2 linked regions of the Notamacropus eugenii genome follow. The protein of the gene in region 2 interacts with the protein of the main gene of each other region in a biochemical or structural test. Links are inferred from orthologs where the notes say so. Each region holds a gene or a part of one and is shown on either strand. Other genes may lie near its edges.

Region 1 (7,696 bases), on a different chromosome or scaffold from region 2:
TTAAAATCCCCTTTCTGATTCCATGTTATGATAGTTTTTATTTCCTATGTAAATATGTTAGTTAAATGTAAGGCAGCAGTGAGTTTATATAGAAACTATGTTCATTCCACTTGTATAAAGTCTATCTCATGAATTTTTAAAATTGATTTCAGTTGCTCATCTGCTTCCCACTGTTAACATTGTGTGCCACAAAGAATTGGTATGTAAAATGTAAAGAAAAAAAGAGAAACTCAGTCTTCAATCTGGGCTGCTTTGCAAGTAGTACCTGCAGGGGCATTCCAGGGCTCCGCTAGAGTGCTTTAGTCTGGACTTCAACTCTGTGTGACCTTGGGCACATCAATTAACCATTCTTTGTTTCAATTTCTTCATCTGGGGAATTAGGTGTTCTTTAAAGCTGTGGCCGGTTGGCAAATGATGTAATTTCCACACTCCCATAGGACGAAAAAATTGCTATTATCTGTTAACATGTTTTCAAGTTGAACTCTAGCTCTAAATATTCTGATTTCAATAGTCTCATGCTAAACATTTTTATTACACCATTTAAAACGTCAAGTTACTGTAAATAAATTATGCCTGAGGAAAAAATCCAATGTCACAGTAGTTCTTGATCAGCATTTTTTGCCAAATATGTATGTTTTACCTGGAGATTTCTTTAACTCCTTAGACTACTGAGTGGCATTTAGTAAATGATGGCCATGGTTTACTAAATGATATATACTAGTGGTCTGAATAAACAGGGATACCGTTCCTAAGTGCCTACTTAATTTTTATTGAAAAAATTTAGTTTTGGGTCAATCTGGCTCACTTGTCAATAGCTTATAAAAACTTTTCTGTTCCTGATTTTTATGTAATGGGAATGGGGGGTGGGGGGTGGGAATTTTATACATATATATGTGTATATACATACACGTGCACATGCTGACACACATAAATGCATACATATCCAGGCTTTTGATGGAGTAGTTTTAGAATACTTTTTCAGCTGTAAATATTGTACATTTAATTTCACAAGAAAAAAATAAAGTTTTCAGCAAATTTATTTCCTAGTATAGAGATTTTTATAGATGAAAAATCATTGGTTAGAGGCCTAATGTTATGTATTCATATTATTACAGAGTGAATTTGTATTTAAAGACAAATTTTTGAAATTCCTAAATCTTTTGTATTTTAATTGGTTTATTATTGAATAAATAATGTGAAAAGTTCAAGTATTCTTGTTTGTTTTTAGGGCAGGATATATAGTTTTTAATTTACATTGGAGAATGTTTCTAATATAAAATTTATACCCAGTAAGTTATTAAGCAGAGTACCTTGTTAACATACCAAATAAAAAGGATTACATATCTCATACAATGATTACAATAGGTACTGAAATCAATGATTCTGGATAGTGAAATACAAGTGTCTTTTATAATGATGCAAAATACCTTTTTACCTAACAGTAAGTAGTCTGCTGTTTAAGGCCATCTGTTTGCCAGTCTGCTTGCTCATCTTCATCTCCATTATTTCTTTCAGCAAAATAATATTCCATCACATCCATAATTTTTTTTAGCCATTTCCCAACTGGACACTCTCTCAGATTCCAACTCTTGAGCATCCATAGGTTAAAATGTATTTTTTTTCTTGTTTAGTTACTGGTTTTATTTCAGAATTGTCTGATTAACACTACGATAAACATCAGGCACGTTGAAGGATTAGTAGAAGAACCATTAGATTTACTAAAAGATGGACTGCTTTGACAGGCAGCCTGAGCATGCGGGGTAAAAAGACCTAGCAATTATGAAGGTTTTTAAGAATAACTCTTTGCTCCTACGGGCCTGCCTTGCAGCCAAAATGAAATAAAACTGGGCACTAGTGCTGCGAGCACAGGACCGAGAGACAAACAGGGCTAAGGAGAGCGGAATCTCCCTTGGGATTCACACCTTACCCCAAATACACAGTGAAACGGACCCAACCGAAAACAATGTGCATTTACTTCTGTTGACAATTCCTTGGGAAGTCTGGGCTCACGTGATCGCTAAGGCTCCACGTGAAACTCAGCAGGCGGCTGACGGTCGTTTCCACCCCACGTCCCCAAAAGTTCTGGGCAAGTTTAATCGCGTCGTAAGGCGCCCTCCAAACGGCCTCGTTCATTTTGGGCAATTAAAGATTAAACTCTCACTTGGACTCTGGAGATCCCCTGTACCTCCACGCCACCAGTAACGGGGTGTGTGCCCGCGGTGGGGGATGGGGAGAAAAGACCACGCAAGCCCACGCTTCTCGCCACCCTCCAGGCACACCGGCCCATCTTAGGATCGACTCGGAGCGGGAAGGGATCGTAAAACTGTCCCCCCGATTTAGGGATAAAATCCAGCCAAGGAAGAAACAGAAACGGGCCTCGACCCGAGGATCTCTGCCTCCCAAGCAAGATTCAGATCGCCCTCCCCTGCTGCTTTACTTTTTTTTTGTTTCCTTTGCCCCCATTAAAATGCGAAGGATCGGCCATCGGCCAATCGCTGCTCCGACGTCTCTGGAAAGTCGGAGACAGAAGAAAGCCGGGGTAAGAAACGGAAACTGGACCTCGGAGAAGACTAGCAGGGAAAGGGCGCAGAGGAAACCGGAAGCTTCGTGCTTAATACCCGGAAGTCAAAACTCCCACCGCCCTCTACTCCGCCAGGTCCCGGAGGTACAGTCGTTCTCGGGCCTGTTGCTCGGGAAAACGCGAGATCGTGGAATGGTGACGCGACACGCCAGACGACGTCCTGGCGCGTTCTATGCGCCATGACGTAAGGATGGCGGCTGTGAGGCCGGAAGTAGCGCGTGTCCTCTGATAACAGCACGTTGTGCTGAAGGCTGCACTTCACGTGTGTGCATGTGTGCAGGTACCTGCCTTCCTGCCTGCTACTTTGACTGCTTGTGTTTGTGTCCGCCAGTCAGCCTGCTTCTCTGTCTAAGGGTTTGCCGGCTTGTCTATTTCTCTGCCTCCTTGCCCATCCACCGTTTGTATCTCTGTCTCTATTCCCCCCTCCGCCCCTCCCTCCCTCCCGAGCCCCTCCCTCCCTCCCGAGCCCCTCCCTCCCCTCGCGAGCCCCTCCCTCCCCTCGCGAGCCCCTCCCTCCCTCACGAGCCCCTCCCTCCCTCCCTCACGAGCCCCTCCCTCCCCTCACGGGCCCCTCCCTCCCCTTACGAGCCAGCAGCGTGACCCTCGGCAAACCCGCGTCTGTGTCAGTTTCCTCAGTTGTTAAATAGGAGTCATAAAAACACCTACCTTCCAGGGTTGTTGTGAGGATCAAATGAGATGTTTGTAAAGCGCTTGTCACAGAACGACTACGAAATAAATGCTTGTTCCCTCCTTCCCTTTGGTCTTTCTGTTGAGCTTTAGGGGTGCTGGGACCCCCGTGATTTCCACACCCAGTCCTCAAAGCCTCGCCTCCATCCTCTCCACGTCTGTCTCTTAGAATTATTTCCCTTCAAGGCTTAGCTAAGTCCCCGTCCATAAAAGGCCTTTTCCGAACCCCGGTAGCCACTCAACTGGTATTGGTCACTTTCCTGCAAGGGTCTGCTTGCTCCACTCCTCCAAAATACTCATTTGTGCATATTTTACATTTGCTCCTGCTGTGTGCTATTTCCTCAGAGAACATATAAGGAAGGTCCTTGTAGGCAACGAGCACAAAGTTTGGCACATAGTAGGTTTCAAATGTCTACTGATTAACTTGTCTTGCCCAAAGTAGGATACAGACCTATGTCTTCCTGACTCCACGCCCACACTCTTCACAGTATACCATCAGTTCTTACAGGCACAATAAAATGGCATCACAGCTTTTCAGCCTTTCCCATTCTTCAGGAACTCAATATTAACAGGGTTTTTTGTTTTGTTTTGTTTTTGCCAGCACGAAAAGTATCGCTACCGATATTTTGGTGCCTTTTTCCTGTCTGACCTCCTGGCGTAGCGGGATCAAAGGATGTGTGTACTTTCGCCCTTATTTAAGCATCAATTCAAGTTACTACCGATTGCGCCAATCCACAGCGGCCACAATCACGGATTAGTGTGGCTGTTTTGTCTCCTCCCCCTCCCTGCATCTCGCGTCTGCCGAAACTTGGAAGTTTTAATCTTCAGCTCTCCTCCTAAGAGTAATAATTTGGAATGTTTTTTTCATACGGCTGTTGATTTATTCCGGCTACGGTTTATAGCCTTTGACTTCTGATCTATGGGAGAGGCCTACTAGACTTGTATACTCACCACAGTTAAAGGAGGGACTTTCCGAAAATCGCGGGGGAGGGGAGAGAGCTAGGCTGCCGTAGCGGAGCGGAGGGGGCGGAGCTAGGAGGGAGGCGGGGCGGTGCCGGGGAGAGGAGGAGGCCGCCGCGTGGGTAGCCCCGGGGGTTGCCTTGGTAACACGGCGGGAGGCGGGGCTCCCGCGGGGCCAGTCCTCCGGCTTCCCGTCAGTCCCCGCGCCTGCTCCTCCGTTCCCCTCTTCCCCTCACGCTAGCTCGGCTCCTCCGGACGGAAGCTCGCAGGGTGTTTCTCCAGAAGTTTCCCCCCTGGGCGGCGGCGGAGACAGCGCGAATTATGGCGGCGGCGGGACCCGCAACGGCGTCGGGGTGAGTGGCTCCCGGCCCCGGGGGGTGGTTCTGGTCCCCTTCCCCCTCTTCTCCTGTGCTCTCCACTCCGCTCACCGCCGCTGACGTGATTGTCTCCCCGGCAGGTTGTTCCCGCCCCTGTCGGACGGGCAGATCGACGAGGACCCCCAGGCGGCCGCCGAGGTGAGAGAAGCCCCCTCCGGCCCTCCCCGCGGGGGGCTTCAGACCCCCCCCCCCCGCTGACAGGTGTCAGGAGAAAGTCCTGTCCCACGGCGGAGTCGGGGGGCCCCCGGCCCCTGCCCTGCGCCCTGGACCCCGCGATTGTATCTTGTGCGGTGCTCGTCCGCTTTGTGAGAGTCCTCCCCTACCTTTCTAATGGAGCGGAGTCCCCACCGACGGGACAGCCGGGGTTCCCGTTTGTGGTTCAGATAACCTGTAGGTGGGATCTCTGCCAAGTGTCCTGGCGTGGGGAGGACGTGGGTTGGTGTGAAGTCTGCGCTCTGTGCGAGTCACCGGCGGGCTCCGAGTGTCACGTTTCCTCCCAGGTTACTGTTGCTCAGGGATCCAGACCTCCCGTTGCTAGTGTTGGGGCTTGTGTAAATCGCTTTTCTGGGACGTTGCCTTCCTCTGTAAAACTGGGAGGAAAGAACTTTGTGAAGCTGCAAGTACTCAGGGAATTATGGGTTATGATATCTTTTTCGGTGGAAAACGTTATATTTTTTCCCATTTCATGTAAAAATAATTTTTAACATTTTTTTTTTAATTTTAGTTTTCAATTCTCTCCTTCCCTTTTCCATTCCTTGAGAAAGCAAGTAATTTCTTATAGATTATACGTGTGTTAGGCAGGCAAAACATTTTTCCATGTTAGCTATGTTGTGAAACAGATCACACCAAAAAACCCAAGAAAAATAAAGTAAAAAAAGGATGCTTTGATCTACATTCAGATTCCATAGGTTCTTTGTGGAGGTGGATTGTCTAGGATCATTATGGTGCTGAGAATAGTTAAGTCATTCACAGTGGATCATCGCATAATATTGCTGTTACTGTGTGCAATGTTCTTTTGGTTCTCACTTTACTTTTCATCAGTTCATGTACGTCTCAGGTTTTTCACAACCGTGCTGCTCCTCATTTCTGAGAGCATAATAGTATTCCATCACAATCATGTATTACAACTTGTTCAGCCATTCCCCAGTCGATGGGCACCTTTTCAATTTCCAGTTCTTTGCCACCACAAAAAGAGCTGCTGTAAATATTTTTGTACCTATAGGTTCTTTCTCCCCTCTTTTTCTTTTAATCTCAATGGGATATAGACCTAGTAATGCTGTTGCTGGGTCAAAAGGTATGTATGCTATTTCTCAGCCAATACCAGAATGTTTTAAATGATTACTACTTTGTAATCCAATTTGAGATCTGCTACTGCTAGGCTACCTTCACTTATTTTTTCATTGATTCCCTTGATAATATTTAATCTTTTGTTCTCCCAGATAAATTTTGTCATTTTTTTATCTCTGTAAAGTAATTTTTTTGTAGGTTGATTGGTATGGCACTTTAATTGGTATGGCAAATTAATTTAGGCAGGATTGCTATTTTTATCATATTCACTTGGTCTACCCATGAGCAATTAATATTTCTCCAATTTTTGAGATCTGACTTTATTTGTGTGTTTTGTAGGTTATTATTTTTAGTATTAAGTTGTACATAAATGAAGGCTTTATGTTACTATAAGTAATTACTGTGATTACAGTTTTGTAGTGCTTCAAGGTTTATGATAAAGTACTTTTTGCGGTAATGGTTTTACAAGAAAATAGAGTAAGTTTGATTAAATATTAGATTCAACATTTGTCTGTTTAAAAAAATTTGACTAGATGTGAATATTGTGCACTGAAATCCCTGATATATGTATGTGCTTGATTTTTTCAGTGGTTGATATTCAGTGGAATAAACTGAAAGTACTTTATGAAACCAACTCTTTATGCAGTAAGTTTTTAATTTTTGTTCTGAAAAGCCTGGAAGATTTCATAGGAAGTATGCTTTTATACTGTCATAAACACTAGAAATTCCTTTAGATACAGTAGCTCATTTTATGTTTGGTGATTGAGGTAAAATTCTTATGAATGTTTACCATAGAATAGTCTGCAAATGTAAATCTAAATCACAGAATCTCAGATGTAGAAAGGAGCTCAGAGGTTGTCTAGTCCCTCTGGTCCCTGAACATACTTGACTGCATCCTATAATAGTGAAGTATTTTTTTTCTCTTGGAAGATCTCTGGTCCTGAAGCACTCACTGTCTTCTAAAGCAGCTTATTCTACTCTTGTTCAGCTTTAAATGTTAAGAAGTTTTCCCTTACATCTAGCCAAATCTCTCTTTGTAACTTCGTGTTGCTCCTGGTTTTTTTCCTTTTGGGGCCATACTGAACAAGTCTGAATGCTCTTCCATGAGAAAGACATGCAGCTATTAATATGGCTCCATAAGTCTTCATTTTTAACTGACAAAGTTTCTGGACCTTTCACCAGTTGGTATGTCTTTCCCTGTTATGTCTTTAAAATGTGACATTGAATACTGATTTCAGTATTCCAGTTATACTTCTTATCAGACCAAGATATAGCAAGATGTAATTTGCTTTATTTAGGACATTGTGCTAATATTAATGGAATCTAAGATTTTTTTGTTTTTTTTTGGCAGCCAAGTCACATTCTTGACACATAAAATGTAAGCCCTTAGAGAGCATGGATTGTTTAGTTTTTTTCCTATGTATCACCAACTCCTACCATGATTCCTGGCACTTAGTAGGAGCTTAATACATTTTTATTGAATGAATGAATTGACAGTGTCCACAGAAAAGTAAAAGTTTTTACACATAAACTATTGCTTTAACTATGCCTTATTTTTGTTAAAGCAGTTAATTATTTGAACCTAAGTGTAAGATTTTACGTTTTTCCATATAAAATTTTTTCTTGCTTCTTTGAAGAAAGTTTCTTCGTTGGTGTTTCAACTTTTTCTTGAGTAGTGACATTGTCATACTGTATGTTATTTATGCGTACCAAATTTGTGTCATCTGAAGATTGATAAGAAGCCTACATTGTTTTTGCCCATGTCTGATAAAAATAACAGATGGGACAGAATCATGGAGAGATT
Region 2 (7,979 bases):
AGGTGAGAGAGAGTTACTAGAGTTTATCCGTTAGGGAAGGGATAACACAGTTAAACCTTGACTTTAGAAAGCTGAGTGGGAAGATAAATGTATTGTTAGAGTCTTAAGAAAGCCTTAAAAGGGGCCAGGGATTCTAAGAGGCAGAAGTTTGGAAGGAACAGCATTCCAGGCATGGAGAATAGTTAATACAAAGGCATGGTGACAGTAGACAGAGTTTTCTTTTCCAAGGAAAAGAAAGTTGGCCAGTTTGGCTAAACAGTAGAATACCTTATTTTACCCCATAATCGTTGGTTTTTCGTTTGTTTTCAGTCCAAAAACTGGTTTATAAGCTTTCATCATGTAATCATCACATGGTATAATTCTGTTTGTCAAGATGCTTAAAAGGTAAACAGAGCAGAAATGTATTCACCTGTGGCATATGGATATTTATTTATCTCTTGCACATTGGGAGCCACAAGCCTAGAATTCTCAGTGCACGTGCATTGTCAGTATATTTCAGAAAGTCTATTTTTGCTGTTTGTTTAGAACACTGTAGCACTAAGGGTATAGTCACTCAACCCAATGAAGAGCCCTACGTGAAAGGGGAGTGGTTGGTCAGGCAAAACTGCCATGAGTAAGTCACATGATAGCTAAACTGTATAGTTCATCTGCCAACGATATATTAATGTGTGAAGCATTTCTTTCTGATTATGGGTTTAATCTTGCACCAAAAACAGTTTAATAATAAATGATTTTTAAGTAATACCAGCACAAATTTTTTAAAGCTTCACATAATGGTCACACCCCACTTTTTTTGCAAAAATATTTGGCATAAAATCTGCAACAATGATGTGGTAAAATACAGAACATGAAGCAGACTGGAATGTAATAAAACTGGAAAGGGCCAAGTTGTAAAGAACTTTAAATTCTAAACAGAGGGCTTTATATTTTATTCTAGAGATAACTGGGAGCTGCTAGTGCTTGTTTAGGACAGAAAAGTGATCTGATCTGATCTCTGCTTTGCGAAAATCATTTTGGGGGTAGTGGGGAGGATGGATTGAAGGGCGAGACAAGGCAGGAAGATCAGTTAAATTAATACTGCAGTGGTACAATTGAAAGGTCCTAAAGTAGTGTAGTGGTTATGCAAATGGAGAAAAGGAATGAAAGATATTGTAGAGAATGAAATGACAAAATTTGGCAACTTGTTGAATGTGTGGAGTAGGAAAAAGATGGCAATGAGTTTTCAAACCTAGGTGACTCTTAAAAAATACAATAAATTCAGAAGAAAGGTGCAGATAGGGTGATAATAAGTTCTGCTTAGGATATACTGAACTTAAGATGCCTATGGGACATCCAGTTCAAAATGTCCAATGAGCAGTTGGGGATGTGGGACTGGAGAGACTAGGGCCAGATAAACAGATCTAGAAATCATTTGCAAAAGGATGGTAATTGAACTAATGAGAGCTGAAGAGATCACCTAGTGAGAGATTATAAAGAGAAAGGAGGCCAAGACAGACCCTGGGGGAAAACCCATAGTCAGTGGGTGTGACCTGAATGAAGATCCAACCAAAGAGAAGTAGTCTGACTGGTAGATGTAGCTAGTAAGACTAGAATCATGAAAACTCAGACAGGCAAATTCATAAAAGCAAAAGACGATCCCACCCTAGAGGTACATGAGTTTGTCTAATGGGAGAGACAAACAATTACTTACAAACAAGGTATATACTGGATTAATAGGAATAATCAACTAGCAGCTAGATGGCTCAGTGGATGAAATGCAGGGGTCTGGGGTCCAGAAGACCTGATTTCAAATTTGGCTTTAGGCATCACTAGCTGTGTGACCCAGGGCTAGTCACTCAAGGAAAAGACAAACCACACCAATATCTTTACCAAGAAAACCCCACAGAAAGTAGGGTCCATGGGATCATGAAGAGTTAGACATACCTGAACAATTAAAAACAACACTAAAGAGAGGAAAGAATTAAGAGGGAGTGGGAAAGATGCCTATAGAATCCTTTTGGGATTTCAGCTGAGACTTAAAGGAAGCCAAGGGAGACAAGAGGCAGATGTGAGGAAGGAAGGACATTCCAGGCAAGGAGGACAGTCAGTGAAAATGGCCAGAGTCCAGGGATAGAACGTTTTGTTCAAGGAACAGTAAGAAGGCCAGTGTTACAGAGTACATAGTGGAGGAGAAGAAGGGGTGGAAGGGTAAGAGGTAAGGAGGTTGGAAAGGTCAGGGGACATTATGAAGTATTTTCAATGCCAGACAGGATTTTATATTTCATCCTGAAAGTGATAGGGAGTTACTGATGTGCTAGCAAATGTTTAACAACCAAGCTTTCTGAAAATACAAGCTGTAATTTTAATCTGCTTTTTTATAATTTTCTCCATCACTTTCTTAAGTCTAAATAATCAACAAAACAATAAGCCAAGGCCTGAGTGCAATGTTTGCTGATTTCTAAGGTTTAACTGCCTCACTGAAAATTTAACAAGTGGCTTCAGCATTCTCCTGAATCAGGGGTACATGTATGGAATTAGCCTTTGGAGGCAGAAAGGTTACCTCCTCCCTAGAGACTGTAGCGAAGGAGACAGTGGAAAATAATGTCAGCAACTATGCTGGTTGGGCCACAGCCTAATGTGGAAGTATGGGAATATCAGGGAGGAAAGAGGCTGGAACAGACGGCACGGCTGTGAGTCTTATGCTAGGATAATTTTTAAAAAAAAAGGAGGGGTGAGAAAGAGGGATGTACTGAGAGAAGGGGGAGGAGAAAAGTAGAATAGAGAAAAATTTCTCACATAAAACAGGCAAAAGTAAGAGCTTTTATAGGGGAGAGAGAAGGGGGGTGCAATGGCTGAACCTCTCTTGTCAGAGTTGGTTCAAAGAAGGAAGAATATATATACAGTTGTATATAAATGTAACTTATTCAATAGAGAAATAAGAGGAAAAGGGGATAAAAGATATAGGAGAGGGAGATGATAAAAGGGAGGCAAAACAGACTTTTGAGGAGGGACAAGATAGAAAGATAAGGATAAATGGAAGAAAACACGATGGAAGAGATACATAGCACTTGTAACTGTGAATGGGAATGGGATGAGCTAACCCATAATGGATCAGAAAACAGAATCCAACCATTTGTCCGGTTTATGAGAGATTTGAAATGTAAAGGCAACACAAAGTTAAAATAAAGGGCTGGAAGGGAATCTCTTATGCTTTAGCCGAAATAAATGAGGTGGGGTAGCAATCATGATCTCAAAGCAAAAGCCAAATAGACCTAATTAAGAGAAGAAATCTGGGAAACTCCATTTTCCTAAAAGGTACTATAAACAAGGATGTAAAAAAATGACAGCAAGTTTCTTTGATAAAGCTCTCATTTCCCAGACATATAGAGAAGGGAATCAAATGTATAAAATAAGAGCCATCCCCCAATTGATCAATTTTCATAAGAAGAAATCAAAGCTATCTATAGTCTTATAAAAAATGTTCTGAACCGCTATTGATCAGGGAAATGCGAAATAGAACAACTCTGGGGTAGCACTCCCTATCTCTCGGAAAGGACAAGTGATGTGGGAGATGAGGGAAAATAGGCACATGAAGGAGCTGCTGGTGGAGTGCTGAACTGGTCCAACCATCTGGAGCTGTGCCCAGGGAGCTACAAAACTGGGCATCCTCTGATCCGGTGCTAGGTCTGTATCCCAAAAAGATCACAGAGAAGGGAAAAAGCCCTGTCTGCACAGCAGCTCTTTTTGGGGGGGGTCGTCAGGCAGGAAAGGCTGAACAAGTGGTGGCACCGGATTGTGATGGAGCACTGCGGGGCTGCGGGAAATGAGGAGGGGGATGAGTGAGCACTGGGGGAGGATGGCACCGTGGCAGCGATGTTCTGATCCCATCGATCCAACCCCCGAGGCCATGCCGAAGGACTCCCGGTGAGAACATGCCACCCGTCTCCGGAGAGAACGGACGGACGCCGTGCCAACTGAAGCACCCTCCTCTCCCCTTATTTTAGTGGGGCATGGCTAATGCAGAAATGGTTTGCGTGATTTCTCACCAATATTGTTTGCTTATTCAGGGGGTAGAGGAGGGAGAGAATCTGGAGCTCAAAAGAATGTCAAAATAAATAATATTTTTTAAAAATGAAGGATTTTGTATTAAATTTTTTAGACGTGTTGTCTTAGATGCCAGCTGGGCATCCAAGTGGAAACATTCATCCGCTGGCAGTGGAGTCTGGGGGCCGCTGGGGAGGGCCGCTGCACGGAGGCGGTAACTGGAGACGGGGGAGTGGGTCAGATCTCCCGGAGTGTGGAGACTCGGCCTGGTGCAACGCCCGTGTTTACAAGGCCGGGGGCAGGAGGAGGAGGAGAAGGAGGAGGGGGAGGAGGGGGAGGAGGGGGAGGAGGGGGAGGAGCAGGGCCGAAGCTGACCGAGGGATCCTAGTCAGGTAGTTAGAAGACGATGCCGCGGAGCACCCAGACTGAGGGCTTGGGGCGAGTGCGTGCCTTTTCTGGGCCTCAGTTTCCTCGTCTGTAAAAAGGGGGGAGGGGAGGAACACTCGCAGGTCTAACCCTATGAAAGAAAGACGCGTGAGCAGAAGCGGGACAAATCTTGCTGCGTAAGAGCAAGACTGCTCCGACGGCGGGGTGGGGGCGGTCGGTGGCGAAGAAGGCAAGACGATTAGCGGGGAGGCCATGGCAACAGCGCAGGAGCCCGGCGCGGGCCCCGACGCAGGCAGCAGCAGCCCGGGCAGGCCGTTGTGCGCACGCGCCCCTGGCCCCCTCCCCCCGCCCCCCGCGCTTGGCAGCTGTGTCCGCGCGCAATCGGTTGGGGGTTGGGTGAGTGGGCCGCAGAGGAGTGGGGGGGGAGGAGAGGGGAGATGGAAGCACGCTAAACCCGCACCCCCCTCCCCAGCCCAGCTTCCCTTCTCCACCGCCTCCTCCGTAGCCCGCAGTGGGGGAGGAGAGCGAAGAGGGAAAGGAAGCGGGAGGGGTAGAGAGAGAGGAGCAGAGAGAAAGAAAGCAGGGCCTGGGCGGGGGCGGGAGGAGGAGCCTCGCCGCGGGGCGGGGGCCGCGAGCCTGTGCGCACGCGCGAGGGCCGCGGCGGTTGGGGAGGGCTCGAGAACCCTCTTCCGGAAGGTTCCGGAGGCTTCTGGAAAAGGCGCTGCTGAGGCGGGGAGTGCCCGACTCTATATAAGGGGCGGGCGGGGGCGGCCGCGCGCCAGTTTGCTGCTCTCCCGTCTCGCTGCCGGCTGAAGCCTTGGGGCTCCTGCTCTCTCTGCCAAGGTAAGGTTACCCCCCCCCCCCCCCCACCCCGGCGGGCCGCGGCTCCCGCAGCGTGGACCTGGGCGTGGGCTCACCTGCCCTTCCCGCAGCCGCGGCTCGGGGGACCGGGAGGAGGCGGGAAGCTGCCCCGGCTTCGGCGCCCCCGAGGGTGGGGGGGAGGCTCCTCCCTGGCTCCCTCCTTGCCCGAAGGGCCCTGGGGCCAGGTCTTGAGGCGCCCCCCCAATTTTCGTTCCCCCGCCGCTTTTACCCACCCTTCCCGAGAAGTGGACGAGGCGAGCGCCCCTAAAAAACCCGGGACTGGGAGAGGGGAAATAATGATGGGGGTTCGGCCCCCCCCATTCCGAGGAGGGTGCCTGGCGTGGGGGGGTGAGGAGCCCGTGGCGCGCCGGCGCCCCCGCCTGCCCCCGGGGCTGCTCTGCCCGGCGGGCGGGGCACCTGCGTCGGAGCCCGAGGGTGGGGGGGGCTGGGGGTACCCCCAAACTCAAATCTTCGTAAGCGAGTGGGGGATTTGAGACTTTGTGCACTGCCCGTTTTGCCCACCGATCTCCTTGGGCGATGCGTAAGGAGAGGGGCTTGGCGAGGCTAAGAAGAGCTTCGTAGGAGGCGTGCTGTGGGCCTCTTTCGTCGATTTTTTTTTAAACGTTTTCTTTTTCGATTCTAAGCCCCGTATGTTGTAAGCTCTGTGAAATGGGAAACTTAGTTTTTACCTTTTCCTCGCTATCCCCAGCGTCTAATTACCAATGCTTTAAACGTTACTCGTGTTGGGATTGAATAGGAGTGAATTTTTGAGCATCGTTTCAGAGTTCAGCTTTGTGCCTCAGTCCTCTGCCTTTGTAGAGGACGGCTTATCCTCTTAATGAGCTGAGCCTGGTGGCGTTAATCCGGCTACGGAGGTGGTGGTAGTCTCTTCAATAATTAAAGGATGAGAAGCAATTGAATCAGTCGGTGGCCCCGGTTTTTAAAGTGTTCCCCTTGAAGCATGAATTAACTCACATAATGACGTGATTCCAAGTGAATTAGTCTCATTTTTTTTCTACCGTAGCCCTAATTTTAGATCCATTAAATCTGTTAGGAACCCTCACGTAAAAACGGGTTGAAATTTTAAAAATCTTTAATTGATATTGCTTGACTAACTGATAACAATGTTCCATAGATGCCTGAGGAAACGCAGACCCAGGACCAACCCATGGAGGAGGAGGAAGTGGAGACTTTTGCCTTTCAGGCAGAAATTGCTCAGTTGATGTCTTTAATCATTAATACATTCTACTCTAATAAAGAGATCTTTCTGAGAGAGCTGATTTCAAATTCATCTGATGTAAGTTTTTTCTTTGTGTTACTGAAATTGAATTTAATTCCAGTATAGCTGTTTTAATTCATGATTAAAATTTTTAAACGTGTTTTTCTTGGTGTAGGCCCTGGACAAAATCAGGTATGAGAGTCTGACAGATCCAAGTAAACTAGACTCTGGGAAAGAGCTGAACATCAGCATCATTCCAAACAAAGATGATCGCACCCTAACCATTGTAGATACTGGTATTGGAATGACCAAAGCTGATTTAATCAACAATCTTGGTACAATAGCAAAGTCCGGAACCAAAGCTTTTATGGAAGCATTACAGGCTGGTGCAGATATCTCCATGATTGGTCAGTTTGGTGTTGGTTTTTATTCTGCCTATCTGGTGGCTGAGAAGGTGACGGTCATCACCAAACATAACGATGATGAACAGTATGCCTGGGAGTCTTCAGCAGGAGGGTCGTTCACCGTTAGGACTGATGTAGGTATGTGCATAGTGAGACCTCGCTTTTGTACAATTAAAGCATTTTCTATGCAGAGAGGGAGAGGGAAAGTATTTTGGTACAGTGGAAGAGGGAGGGAGTGGAAAGCCCCGTTTGAAACTGACCAGGGGCACAGTAACTACACATTATTCTCAGCTGTGAAATGAGGGCCTTGGTTGAGCTAGGTAGCTTTTGAATTTGCTTCTGGTTCTAGATACACAAGTTCCTATGAATGGTAGCCTGAGAAATAAAACCCAGGGTAGTTTTATAACATGAAAGAATAGGATATAGGCTCAACAAAATTAGTATAATTATTCTTTAAGAACTACCTTGATCTGTATAGTTCTTTATTGTAAGTTCAGCACTACTGCTTGTCATTTTAAACATAAAATGAGAAGGAAACATTTGTTAGAAAATTTGTAGTTAATCTTCAAAGATAAAATTACAATAAATAAGCATTCTGAGCATCACGTTGAATGAATTTCTTGGTTGAATAGAACTATGAGGTATTGTTTCAGAGGTATGGAAAGGATTTTCAAAAAATCATTAGTATTCTCTATTAAATTGGTTTCTTAGTTCCCATTTATGTTTGAGGTTAGAGATTTCAGATGAAATTACAAATCAGAGGAGTCTCCCACATATACTTTTTCCCTTTCCTCTTCTAGGTGAACCTATGGGTCGTGGAACAAAGGTAATTTTGCATTTGAAAGAGGACCAAACTGAGTACTTGGAGGAACGAAGAATAAAGGAAATTGTGAAGAAGCATTCGCAGTTTATTGGCTATCCAATTACACTTTTTGTAAGTTTGAAATAATGCAATTCTGAATTCAGCTCATCAGTTAGGTAATCCTTAAAATTTAGGAAAGGTTGCAAAAGGAGAAGAGGTATTTAGCAAATTTTATATCTTTGTTTTGACAACTGTAAATAGTCTCATTCATATGGTTATAAAC

Evidence for each region.
Region 1: the proteins of HSP90AA1 (region 2) and SUGT1 form a complex in vitro, tested with the Homo sapiens proteins (4 studies listed by BioGRID, with this or other methods). The link is inferred for Notamacropus eugenii from reciprocal best matches to the Homo sapiens genes HSP90AA1 and SUGT1.

What each region holds. Positions count from the first base shown.
Region 1 is NC_092877.1:291,034,856-291,042,551, reverse strand, and holds the start of SUGT1 (protein SGT1 homolog), read left to right. Parts: upstream 1-4,296; 5' UTR 4,297-4,549; coding exon 4,550-4,581; intron 4,582-4,685; coding exon 4,686-4,743; intron 4,744-5,813; exon of another isoform or gene 5,814-5,878; coding exon of another isoform or gene 5,879-5,899; intron 5,900-6,480; exon of another isoform or gene 6,481-6,516; coding exon of another isoform or gene 6,517-6,537; intron 6,538-7,696. UniProt on the Homo sapiens protein: May play a role in ubiquitination and subsequent proteasomal degradation of target proteins.
Region 2 is NC_092872.1:351,894,296-351,902,274, forward strand, and holds the start of HSP90AA1 (heat shock protein HSP 90-alpha), read left to right. Parts: upstream 1-4,743; 5' UTR 4,744-5,253; intron 5,254-6,406; coding exon 6,407-6,568; intron 6,569-6,665; coding exon 6,666-7,032; intron 7,033-7,694; coding exon 7,695-7,828; intron 7,829-7,979. UniProt on the Homo sapiens protein: Molecular chaperone that promotes the maturation, structural maintenance and proper regulation of specific target proteins involved for instance in cell cycle control and signal transduction.